2 linked regions of the Canis lupus familiaris genome follow. The protein of the gene in region 1 purifies or fractionates together with the protein of each later gene. This does not show direct contact. Links are inferred from orthologs where the notes say so. Each region holds a gene or a part of one and is shown on either strand. Other genes may lie near its edges.

The links.
Region 2: the proteins of DCAF6 (region 1) and TNNC2 purify together in Homo sapiens (affinity purification with mass spectrometry; 3 studies listed by BioGRID and IntAct, with this or other methods). This does not show direct contact. The link is inferred for Canis lupus familiaris from reciprocal best matches to the Homo sapiens genes DCAF6 and TNNC2.

Annotation. Positions count from the first base shown.
Region 1 is NC_049228.1:30,468,463-30,474,016, forward strand, and holds the start of DCAF6 (DDB1- and CUL4-associated factor 6), read right to left. Parts: upstream 3,452-5,554; 5' UTR 3,159-3,451; coding exon 3,062-3,158; intron 1-3,061. Other genes in the region: MPC2 (mitochondrial pyruvate carrier 2), read left to right, coding at 4,231-4,339. UniProt on the Homo sapiens protein: Ligand-dependent coactivator of nuclear receptors. Enhance transcriptional activity of the nuclear receptors NR3C1 and AR. May function as a substrate receptor for CUL4-DDB1 E3 ubiquitin-protein ligase complex.
Region 2 is NC_049245.1:33,759,030-33,764,218, forward strand, and holds TNNC2 (troponin C, skeletal muscle), read right to left. Parts: upstream 3,531-5,189; 5' UTR 3,410-3,530; coding exon 3,407-3,409; intron 1,986-3,406; coding exon 1,934-1,985; intron 1,811-1,933; coding exon 1,667-1,810; intron 1,579-1,666; coding exon 1,464-1,578; intron 1,328-1,463; coding exon 1,191-1,327; intron 1,060-1,190; coding exon 1,028-1,059; 3' UTR 871-1,027; downstream 1-870. UniProt on the Homo sapiens protein: Troponin is the central regulatory protein of striated muscle contraction. Tn consists of three components: Tn-I which is the inhibitor of actomyosin ATPase, Tn-T which contains the binding site for tropomyosin and Tn-C.

The DNA.
Region 1 (5,554 bases):
AGTTCAGGTGACTCTTGTGAATTTGGAGATTGTAAGTGAACATATATATCGTTTTCTTCTAAATAACTTATGAAAAATTATTTATCTTCATTCCCACAACATAACAAGATGTTTTATGAACTCTAGTTTTCTTTGATAGGAGGAAAAGTAGTAATTTATCAAATTTGAAATCACCTGCAAAGCTTGAATACTGGTATTAGAAAGACACATGCTATAATGAAATAATTTGAAATGTAAACGTTACAAGAAACATCTGTCAATTTTATCTGTGAATTATTTAGCAGTAATTCATTATTAAAAATGCAAATAATGGGAATAAATTGAAAAAATAACCTACAATACTGTAAACAACCAAAATGTTTGAAGGCTCAAAATAAAAAAGGAATCTACTTTCTAAAATACTATTTTTTAAAAACTCATTGATTCAGGTACTACTAATGCGGATTTTACTATTTCCTGAATGCTAAACCAAGATTAGCACAGGGGTGTGGGAGAGTTAGATAAAATAATGGTGTAAAGAAGATCTACTAAGGTCAGGAAATTACTTCACAAGCTATTTTCAAGTACTTAGAAAACCACTTTTAAAGGATGCTGTTTTGAGAATACACTATAAAGAATATATTAACACACACTTAAAACATTAAGATAAGAAACCTCATACACACACACACACATGCATGCTGATATTTGAAAATCTGTAATTCAGACTTTCTATTGATGTCAGGGAACTCTTGCTCTTCAATTTCCCTCTACCTAATGCAAACATCACACTTAAAGGAGGAAGGGAAAAAAAGGAAATGTAGAGTTTCATATTTTAACTCATATTTCATAGATACAGCTGAACTAAATGAACCAGAAAAAAACATTAATATATAAACTTATCTAAATCAGTACTTAAACAGTCCAACTAATACAGGACCAAACAAATTTACTCATGCAGAACACACAGTATTAAAATTCGTTTGGGACGCCTGCTCAGGCGTGAGCTGAGGGTGGCTCAGCGTTTGGGTGTCTGCCTTTGGCTCCGGGTATGATCCCAGAGTCCCAGGATCAAGTCCCAGGATGAGTCCCGTATCTGGCTCCCTGCATAGAGCCTGCTTCACCCTCTGCCTGTGTCTCTGCCTCTCTCTCTGTCTCTCATGAATAAATAAATAAAATCTTAAAAAAAAAAAAAAAAGGTTCGTCTTATTAAACTAAAATTAAGTTCTTTTTCAAAAAAAATTAAGAGAGGGGCAGCCTGGGTGGCTCAAGGCAGTTTGAGCACCTGCCTTCGGCCCAAAGCATGATCCTGGAGACCAGGGATGGAGTCCCATGTCAGGCTCCCTGTATGGAGCCTGCTTCACCCTCTGCCTATGTCTCTGCCTCTCTCTCTCTCTCTCTATCGTGAATAAATAAATAAACTTTAAAAAAAATTAAGAGAAATACTGCACATCTTTTTTAGGTTAATGATTTAAAAAATCACTCTCCACTAATGTTTAATTTTAAGACCACTCTAGGTTACTTATCCTAGAACAAATGCACAAGCATGTATAAGGATGTTCAGTGCAATGCCTCAGTAACAACCAAGATCTATTTCCAGAGGAAAGGTTTGAGTCTACTACTGTACTGTCATACAGTTAAACATTATGTGGTAGTTTAAAAGACTGAATAGGTCTATTTTTACTGCCTGGAAAGATCTCTAAGACCTAATGTAGAAGTAAGTTGTAAAACAAAGTTTACAAAAGGACACCATATATACAAGTTTCACAGACACACAAAAGCACACAGAACTTTGGCATTTCTGTATGTACATATGTGCTTGTAAAAATGGAAAGATAAAGGTCTGGAAAAATATTCAGGAAACAGAGAACAGTTACCTCTAAAAGTGTGTGTGTAAAACTGGAATGGGAGGGAATCACAGGGATTTCTGCTTCATTTTTATTATGTCTGTACAACGAGAATGTATTCATATGTCACTTGAGACACTAAAAAACAAGAATAAGAAAAAAAAAATGCTTGCTCAGTTCTCTCAAATCATTTACAAACCAGAACCGTTAGGTGTAAGGAGATTTCATTTTCTTCTACCGACTTGAAGGCAAAAACCAAATGTCATCAACAGTACTTCCTTAGCAGAAAGTGACAAAACTGGAAAGAAAAACGTTTTAAATGTCTTACCGACAAATAAAAAAGAACAAAGTGGCGCTGGAGAGACGGCAGAGGAAGAAACCAAAAAAGACCCTTAACTCAAAACGTCCACTTTCAAGATCCTGGACTGTTTGAGCTAGCTCAGCTTGACCCAGAATCCTCATATAACCAATTTACCCAAAACGGGGGGGAAAAAAAAAAAAAAAAGTGGAATACTGTTCCCTCAAGTATTGAAGGTTGTTTTTAGAAAGCTTAACTAAGAAACCGTAAATGCCAAGTGTGTTTTACAGGGGTGGGAAGAGGAACATGAAACCCTACACCTCCTGAAAGCGGTCAAAACGAACTGAAGAGCACAGGGGAACCGGGGAAGCGCGCGGGGGTGGGGAGAGCTCGGCTATCACTTTTGGGCTTTGGCTGGGCGCCGCACCACAGTTTACGCCGAGTCCGTGTGGTGCACGAAGTCCCTCAAGGTGGCCGCCGCGCCGCGGCCGACACCCCAGCCCTCCGAAGACTGAGAGGAGGCGAGTGCTGTCAACAAAAACTTAGTCCTTCGGCGGAGCGGGGAGAGCGCTGGAGGGGAGCACAAGCGCCAACTTTGGCTCCAAACGAAGCAGCTCCGGGAGGCTGGGCAAGTCTTCTCCCGAACCGCACTCCACACGCGCCCCCAACACCTTTCCCGGCCAGTAGCGTCTGCCGCCCACCCGGCCCCCTGAGGGAAACCCAGCAAGGGCGGCGGCCGGCAGCACGCAAGGGGGCTTGGCCGTGGGAGGACACCCGCACCGGGGGCGCCAGCCAACGTCCACCCAGCACCCCGGGGTCTCCGGGGCGGCCCCGCCGAGGCGCTTCCCCACCAACAGCCCCCGCGGCGCGGCCCCCTCCCCCCCTCTGGGCGGCGACCTCAGCGCCTCCGCCCCCGGGCCCCCGCGCCCCCGCTCACCCAGGTAGCGGCTCCGCAGCCGGGACGGGTCCTCCAGCCCGAGGGACCTTTTCCTCACGTCCCACAACAGGTGTGGGCAGGAGCCACCCCGAGACATGGCTCTGCCGGGCCGGGGTAGAAGGGGAGACCACCGCGTGGGGGAGGGGAGAAGGGGGAGGGGACACCGCGGATCAACACCCGAGCCGCACCGGCACCATCCGCGCGCCGGGCCTCGCGGGCGCTGCGAGTTAGATGGCGGCGGCGCCCTCGCCCCCGAAGCCCGGCCGCGCCCGGGCCGGAGCTCGCCTCATACTCTCCTTCTCAGACTACCCAGAACATCCAGAGATCAGCAACAGTCCCCTCCCTCGGCCCCCCTCCGACAGGAGGAGGAGGAGGCGGAGGCGGCCGCGACTCCTCCCTCTCCTCGTTCTCGACACCCTCCCTTCCAAGCGCTTCTCGCGAGATGACGACCACCCCCGGGGCTGACGCTCGTCTGCGCCACGGCTGACGAGCAGAACCCTAGGAAAGTGGGTTCTGTAGCTAACTCCTTGATTCTCTACGGATAAGTGAGGCATAGAGAGAGGAGGAGCTGAGATGTGAGGTCTCTCAGTCACAAGGCTCATTCCAAGGGAAGCAAGAGCGTTGTGCGGCGTCATCTTTAGTTGGGGCACTGAAGGCCCGGAAAGCCCATTTTAACTGCGGGCTGTCTTAAAGCGGAGGGGGATTAGAGCCCGTGCAGCTTCACTTTCCCTTCTCCAACATGGCCTCGAGGGCAGGAAGGAGAAATTGGAGGTTCGCGCTGGACCCCGCCCGCACCACGAGGCGGGCCAATCACCGTGGGGCGGCCGTGCTTGCGCAGGCGCGCTGCCGCCGGGGCGCCGGGTTGGCGTGGGGAGGCAGTCCTCCAGGCACCTGTTGCCATGACTCCTCCTCCTCCTGGGCAGCGGGAGTGAAGGAGGCGGGCCCGGGGCGGGCCGTCGCTGTATCTCCGCCCCCTCAGTGCTTTCCTGGGTTCTCGCCACCCCTGTGGTTCGCAGGGGGCAGCCTGAGCCGCGGGAAGGGCAACCTCGGAGAGAGGAGGACGCTAGGCGCTGTGGCAGGAGAAAGTGACGAGTGCCCTTCGTTGTCATCCAGGGAGCAGCACGCGGCCGCTCTCCCTCTCGACCGCCCACGACCACTCGTCCGCAGAGATGTCAGCCGCTGGCGCCCGGGGCCTTCGGGCCACCTACCACCGGGTCCTGGATAAAGTGGAGCTCCTGCTGCCGGAGAAATTGAGGCCGCTGTACAACCACCCGGCAGGTAACAGACCCGGAATAGCTCTCAGCGAGACCTTCACTCCCCCCCCCTCGTCGGAAATAGACCTTTAGCGGCCACGGACAACTCCGCCGCTGGAGGTATCGCCCGCAGCCCCAACTACTTCCCTTCAAGCGAGCCCGGTCTCACTTTCCCGTCCTCCCTGCTTTTCACTTTATCTCCTCCAACATCTCTCGTTAAACCTGAGATTATCGATTCTGTGCCCTTCGCGACCTTTGCTGCACCCCATCCCTTAGGCACGACCCACACCCCGGCCCGGGCCTCTGGGTTTGAGCCTTCTCGCTTCCCGCGGCCACAGATCGGCCTGGGCCCCCACGAGATTCTCATTCTCTCCCCTTATCCTCCACGAGTACTGGTGTATATTGATCCACGCGGATCTTGTCGCACCGGTTTGGAGTAAAGGTCACACTTCCCTCAGCTCCAGCTGGCCGAGGCCTGCAGATGCGTTACCCGGGTTTCCGAGTCAGTGTCATACCTAGTCCCATAGATCCAGTTTGTTGAAGGCTGTCCTTTCTGACTGATTCTCCCTAGACTTTTTCATGTGGGCAGACCCGGATTTAATTCTGTTGTGCCTCTTACTATGTAGCTGTGACCTTGGGCGAAATCCTAGATAGTTTAGTCCCTGTAAAATCTGCTCAGTGTGAGAATTAAAGATAACATGCGTTTGAGTCTTCATAAATGCCTAACAAGTGTTAGCTCTCACTTGTCCTGCTGGAAAACACTGTTCTTGTGGCTGAAAAAAAAAAATAGTATAAGAAACTGGAAGATCCCAATCCTTCCAACTCTTCAAGACCTAGAGTTTTGTTACCTCTTCTATAAAACGGGCGGTAATATTACTTGGCTGGTAACTAAAACCCGAGGTACTGAGGTCTATTTCAAGCTTAAAATTTAGTGAATGAGAAAATATGTTACAAATTGAAAGGTTGAAGTGCACCCCAAAAGTGACTCTTTTTTCCTTCCTCTGCAGTTGGCATCGTTAGGAAAGTTGTCTTTTCTCCACACGTTTGACTAGGAAGGAGCTCTCTGGAGTCTGAGATGGTTCCTGACTCTGATTTCCAGTTTGATAATGAAATGATGAATAGTATAATACTTTACTAAAATACAAAATAAATATTATACTTAAGTATTATATTGTTTACTGCAGTATCATACCCATTATAAAATTAGTCTTTAGGAAATTTATTTAGTTTATTTGCCTTT
Region 2 (5,189 bases), on another chromosome or scaffold:
GAAGATGGTATCTGAGCTGGGCTGAAAAATTTGCCAGGCTTATTAGAGGAGGAAGGGCATTCCAGCATGAGCAAAAGCCCAAAAGCTTCAAAGTGCACCTCCACTGTCCAGAGCAGTAAGGATAGATTACCCGGTGTGGCTGGAACCTGAGAGGGGTAGGAGGGGAAAGGAATTTGGACTTGATTCTAGAAGCGAAGGGGAGCCCTGAGGGTATTTCAACAAGGGAGCAGCCAGGTCAGATTTCTTTTAGCTAGATCTTGCTAATGGCCCCATGTTGAGCACACTGGCATTGGCGGGAGCTGGAGGCAGGGATGCAGGGTGGAGATGATGACGTCAGAACCTCCTTCCCGGCTGTGTGCCCCTACCCTCCTCTCCCATCTCCAGTATGGAGCACCTATAAACGCTCAGAACAGACGAAGTAGAAAAAGTCAACCAAGAGTGAATGCTGCCTGGAACGGATGGATACGATACCCGCTTCTCCATCGCCAGCCCGGTAGCTTGCACCCCAGACCCAAAGGCTCCAGAAAGGAACGACGGCGGGGAAGGAAAGGGGCCTCACCTCGGCCTCCCGCGGGTTCCAGCCTCCTGCCGCGCCCTCACCCTACCCGCCATCCCCGGCACCCTCACCCCGACAGCTCCAAGCGCCAACCCGCACCCCCACCGCCGGCCTCCCTCCTCCAGCGCCAGGCGCCGCGGCAACCCCGCCGGCCGAGCTGTGCACGCCCAGCGCCAGCGCCCGGGAACCTGCCCGGGGTCCCGCGCCTCGGTGCGTCCCGCAACTCGGGTGCCCGCTCCTTGGAGCCCCGAGGCGCTCGGGTGGTGCCCCGGACGGCGGCCCAGCCAGGCGGGCCCTGACACCCTCACTCAGGCTACGCGCTTCGCAGTGTCTGCTTTTATTCCCCTGCACACAGAGCCCGCAGGGGCCGCGCCTCCCTCCTGGGGCTGAGGCCGTGACGGGGCGGGGCGGGGGTGCCGGGCCCGCCCTCGCCCGAGGGACGCGCGTCGGGGCGGATGCGGGGGCGACTTCTTACTGCACGCCTTCCATCATCTTCAGGAACTCTGCGGGGATGGAGCGCGGAAGCGTCAGTCGCACGCACCGCCGGGGCTCCCGCCCTGCGGACAAAGCCACGGACGGCCGCGTGGGAGCCCCGCCCCGCGCCCCGCGCCCCGCGCCCCGCGCCCGCCCTCACCGTCGAAGTCGATGCGGCCGTCGTTGTTCTTGTCGCCGTCTTTCATCAGGGACTCAATCTCCTCGTCTGTCACGTGCTCCCCGGAGGCCCTGAAGATTTCAGCCAGCTCCTCCGCATCGATGTAGCCGTCTGCGTTCCTTGGGGCGAAGGGACAGGGTGTCAGGACAGGCGGGGGCGAGCCGCCCCCCACACCCCCACACCGCCCACCCGCGCCGCCTGGTCCGCGCACTCGCCCAGCCCAGCGCCTTCTCGGCTCCCCAGCCCTCAGTGCACCTGTCGAAGATGCGGAAACACTCGGCCAGCTCCTCCTCGCTCTTGCCCTTCGCATCCTCTTTCATCTGGCGCACCATCATGACCAAGAACTCCTCGAAGTCGATGGTGCCGCTGCCTGAGGCGAGCAGGTGGCGAGTGAGCCTGAGCCCTGCGGGCCCACCCCGCCCGCCGCAGTCGCAGCCCCTGGAGGGCCACCTGCTCACCATCCTCGTCCACCTCCTCGATGATGGCGTCCAGCTCCTCTTTGGTGGGGGTCTGGCCCAGCATCCTCATCACCGTGCCCAACTCCTTGACGCTAATGTCCCCGCCACCATCAGCGTCGAACATGTCGAAGGCAGCCTTGAACTCTGAGCGAGGCAGAGGACCGAGGTGGGCCTGGCTGGACTGTCAGCCTCACACCCTCCCTCCCACCCTGCCCAGCCCCCAGCACTGCCCAGCACGCAGCCACCCGCCCGCCGGCCCGCACTCACCAGCGATCATCTCCTCGCTGAGGTAGGACCGGGCCTCCGCCTGCTGGTCCGTCTGCAGGAGACACAGAGTCAGCCAGCAGAAGGGGTGGCCCCAGAGCTCATTCTTGCCTTAACCCCCTTCTCTTCAACCCCTTTCTGTCAGTGCCCTTTGGTCTTCCAGAAGAACAGTTCCAAACTAACAACACCTTCTGCATGCTCCCGCAGCACCTGAACCCCAGTTTTGAAGAACAAGGAGGAAACAGATTATGCCCAGGGTCTCCAAACCTGCTAATCAGATGTCAAGTCAGGAATCCCCCTTTCTAACCTTGGGCAAGTCACTTATTCTACTCTAGCTCTTCTCAGCTGCTTTTCAAGAATGAAAAGATCAGAGACGTCAAAGAGTTTTGTAAAGTACCAGCACTATTCCAGCATCATTTTTCAGTGTCCCCCAGCTCCCAGTAGAGCCTGGTACTATAATAGGGGCTCAGTAAATGTTCTCAATAATGCAAGGCAGAGTCATTGAGCCCCAACTAAGCGTCAGGCCAGACACTGGACACTGAGGCCAAGAAGACCCAGACACCCATCCCTTCCCTCCGACAACTTGTGGAGATGGAGATTTTAAGCTCCCTTCTTATCACTTAGCCATTGGAGTAAATCATAATCATGCTGGACAGAATATAATGGGGGCCTTGTGGAGGTGGAAATAAGATTTCGGGGGAGGCGATCTGGCCACATCCAAGCCAAGCCATCTGGCTATGGGACTTTGGACTGAGGCTGGCGGGGAGGAGGGGCTGAGGTGGCCAAGGCCTTCTTCGGCGGCCAGCTAGCCACTGCCCTCCTCCTTACCCTCCCCTCCTCCCTCCTCCTTGACCATGCAGGAGGGCAGGCTATTTTTAGCCTGGCATGGGCAACAGCAGCTGTCCTGTGGGGTCTAGTTACCCCTTGAAGTGGGGAGAGGGACCTCAGGGGAAATGACCTCCCTCTCTGGGAGGCTGGGGTCTCTAACCTTGGTCTATCATCTTCTGCCCCTTCTCTCCCTCATAGCTCTTGGGATCCTGCACCTTAGCTGGCTTGAAGCTCTGTAGGCCTCCCTTCTTCTAGAGGACTCCTCTCACCGGCAGTAGGATGATTTGGCAAGACCTCCAGCTAGCTCACCCCAGCCACTGGCTTGCTAGGTGACTCACTCTGGCCCTCAGGGTCCCCACCTCCACCGTGAGGGAGACAAGCTAACACCCCCCTCACAATTCCGTGGCCAACACTGCCAAAGCCTTAGGTCTGCAGGGAGTTGGCAATCCCAGAGCACCCAGCCCTCCCCTTCCTAGAGAAGTCCAAGGCCTTCTTCCCAGGCTTCCTCCTAGACATCTAGGCTCCAGGAGCCTACATGTTCCATCTTTAAACGTCCAATTACTGAACTACAGAGCACCCAGATCTGGCCTGGAAGAGGTCCAGAAGTGCTCCAGCAAGCAAAGGGATGAAGTTCCTTCTTGTCCTTACCATGGTTGCAAGTCACTGGGCCTCCCCTGCTTCAGGTCAGTCACCTCCTCAGCACTCCACCACCCAAAGATACCCTGGCCTGCTCCAGCACCTTGGATTTGTAGGGGCACCCTCTCCTCCCACCTCTCTGCTCCCCAGGACTAATTGCCCTGGCCAATCAGATCCTGGGGTCAGTGAGCACCTCCTCCTTTCCTCCCCCACCCCCATTCCAGAGTCCTGGCCCATTACCTAATTTAGCCAAGGGCCCTTGCAGAGAAATTTAAGCCTGTGAGCAGGTGGCAGGCCTTGACGTCCTAGATTCTTGGGAGAAGAACCCGCCCTGCTCCACTGCTTTAGGGAGCCCCTGCTCAAGAAACACGCTTGCTCCAAGATGGGTGAGGATAATCAGAATCCAGAAAAGTTGAAGCAGCATGGCAGACAGGAAAGAGCACGAGCCTTGAAGTCTTAAACCCAATACTTTCTTTGCAAGCTGTGTACTCTTAGGCAGGTGACATGCCACTCTGAGCTTCAGTTTCTGAGCTTCAGTTTCCTTCTCTGTGAGGTGGAGATGGGGACAGTCATGACCCGCCCTCACAGAGAGACCAATGAGAAATGGGGCCCAGGTGTAAGTCGCCGAGCTTGTGCCTGCTCTATAGGGTTGGTGCTTGGCAAGTGGAATGTCCTGTCTGAACCATGCTAGAGGGCAGGGGAGGGGAGGAGGAGAGAATGACAGCCAGTCACTGAACCTCTAGGTTCACACTCCATGCTAAGCATTTTAACCATGTGATCTCACCTAGTCGTCATCTATAGGGGAGAAGCTATTATTATTCCCTTTTTACTGGGGAGCTTTGTTAAATCACAAAGGTCTATAGTCATGTCAATGATTCTTATTATTCCTGAAGGGAAGTTGGGACAGCCAGGAGGGGACCTGTCCAAAGGAGAAATCTACAGATCCAGGAGATGGGTATGCATTTGGAAGAGAAATAAACATTGAGGGATGCCTGGGTGGCTCAGCAGCTGAGTGTCTGCCTTTGGCTCAGGGCATGATCCCAGTCTAGGGATGGAGTCCCACATTGGGCTCCCCACAGGGAGCCTACTTCTCTCTCTGCCTATGTCTCTGCCTCTCTCTCTCTCTCTGTATCTCTCTGAATAAATAAATACAATCTTTTAATTAATAAATAAACATTGAAAGCAGATCTTTCGAGTTTACCTGCTCCAGGGAAACGGTGTTTGTGATTCACTTTTTTTGAGGGAGAGGGGGACTGGGGGCAGGTTCTCTAGGTGGGTAAAGGGGCAGCAGGCCCTTTCCTAGAGCTCGGTGAAGAAGTCTGGAGCAGCTTGGCCGGCCATCTGGAGAGTGAAGGGATGGGCAGAGCAAGTCTAGTCCATACTGAGCCCAACACCCAGGGTCTGGGCTGGGTGTTGGAGAGGTAGCCGAGGCTGTGGACAGCAGCTAAGTCAACAGAAAGAGCACTAAGGCAACTGAGCGCAGAGCCCAGGGCCAGCGAAAGGAGGCTGGATTCCAAGGAAAGGCAGATAGACAGTGGCAGCTGGGCTGCCATCTTCCTCTATTTATAGACATTCCCAAGAAAAGCTCAGTGGAGCCAAGCCGGGCTACATAAGGCCTCCCCCTGCCAGGCAGAGGGCCAAGGGGCAGCGACACTAGGGGAGTCCAATTTGGATGTGAGCCCTGGAACCACAATGATTTCTTTGAAGCAGAGAGTTTGGAACGCTCCACAACCATTTGTTCATTAATTTGTTCTTGCATTTATTCAGAGAAATAGATAAGGTCCAGATTTATCTA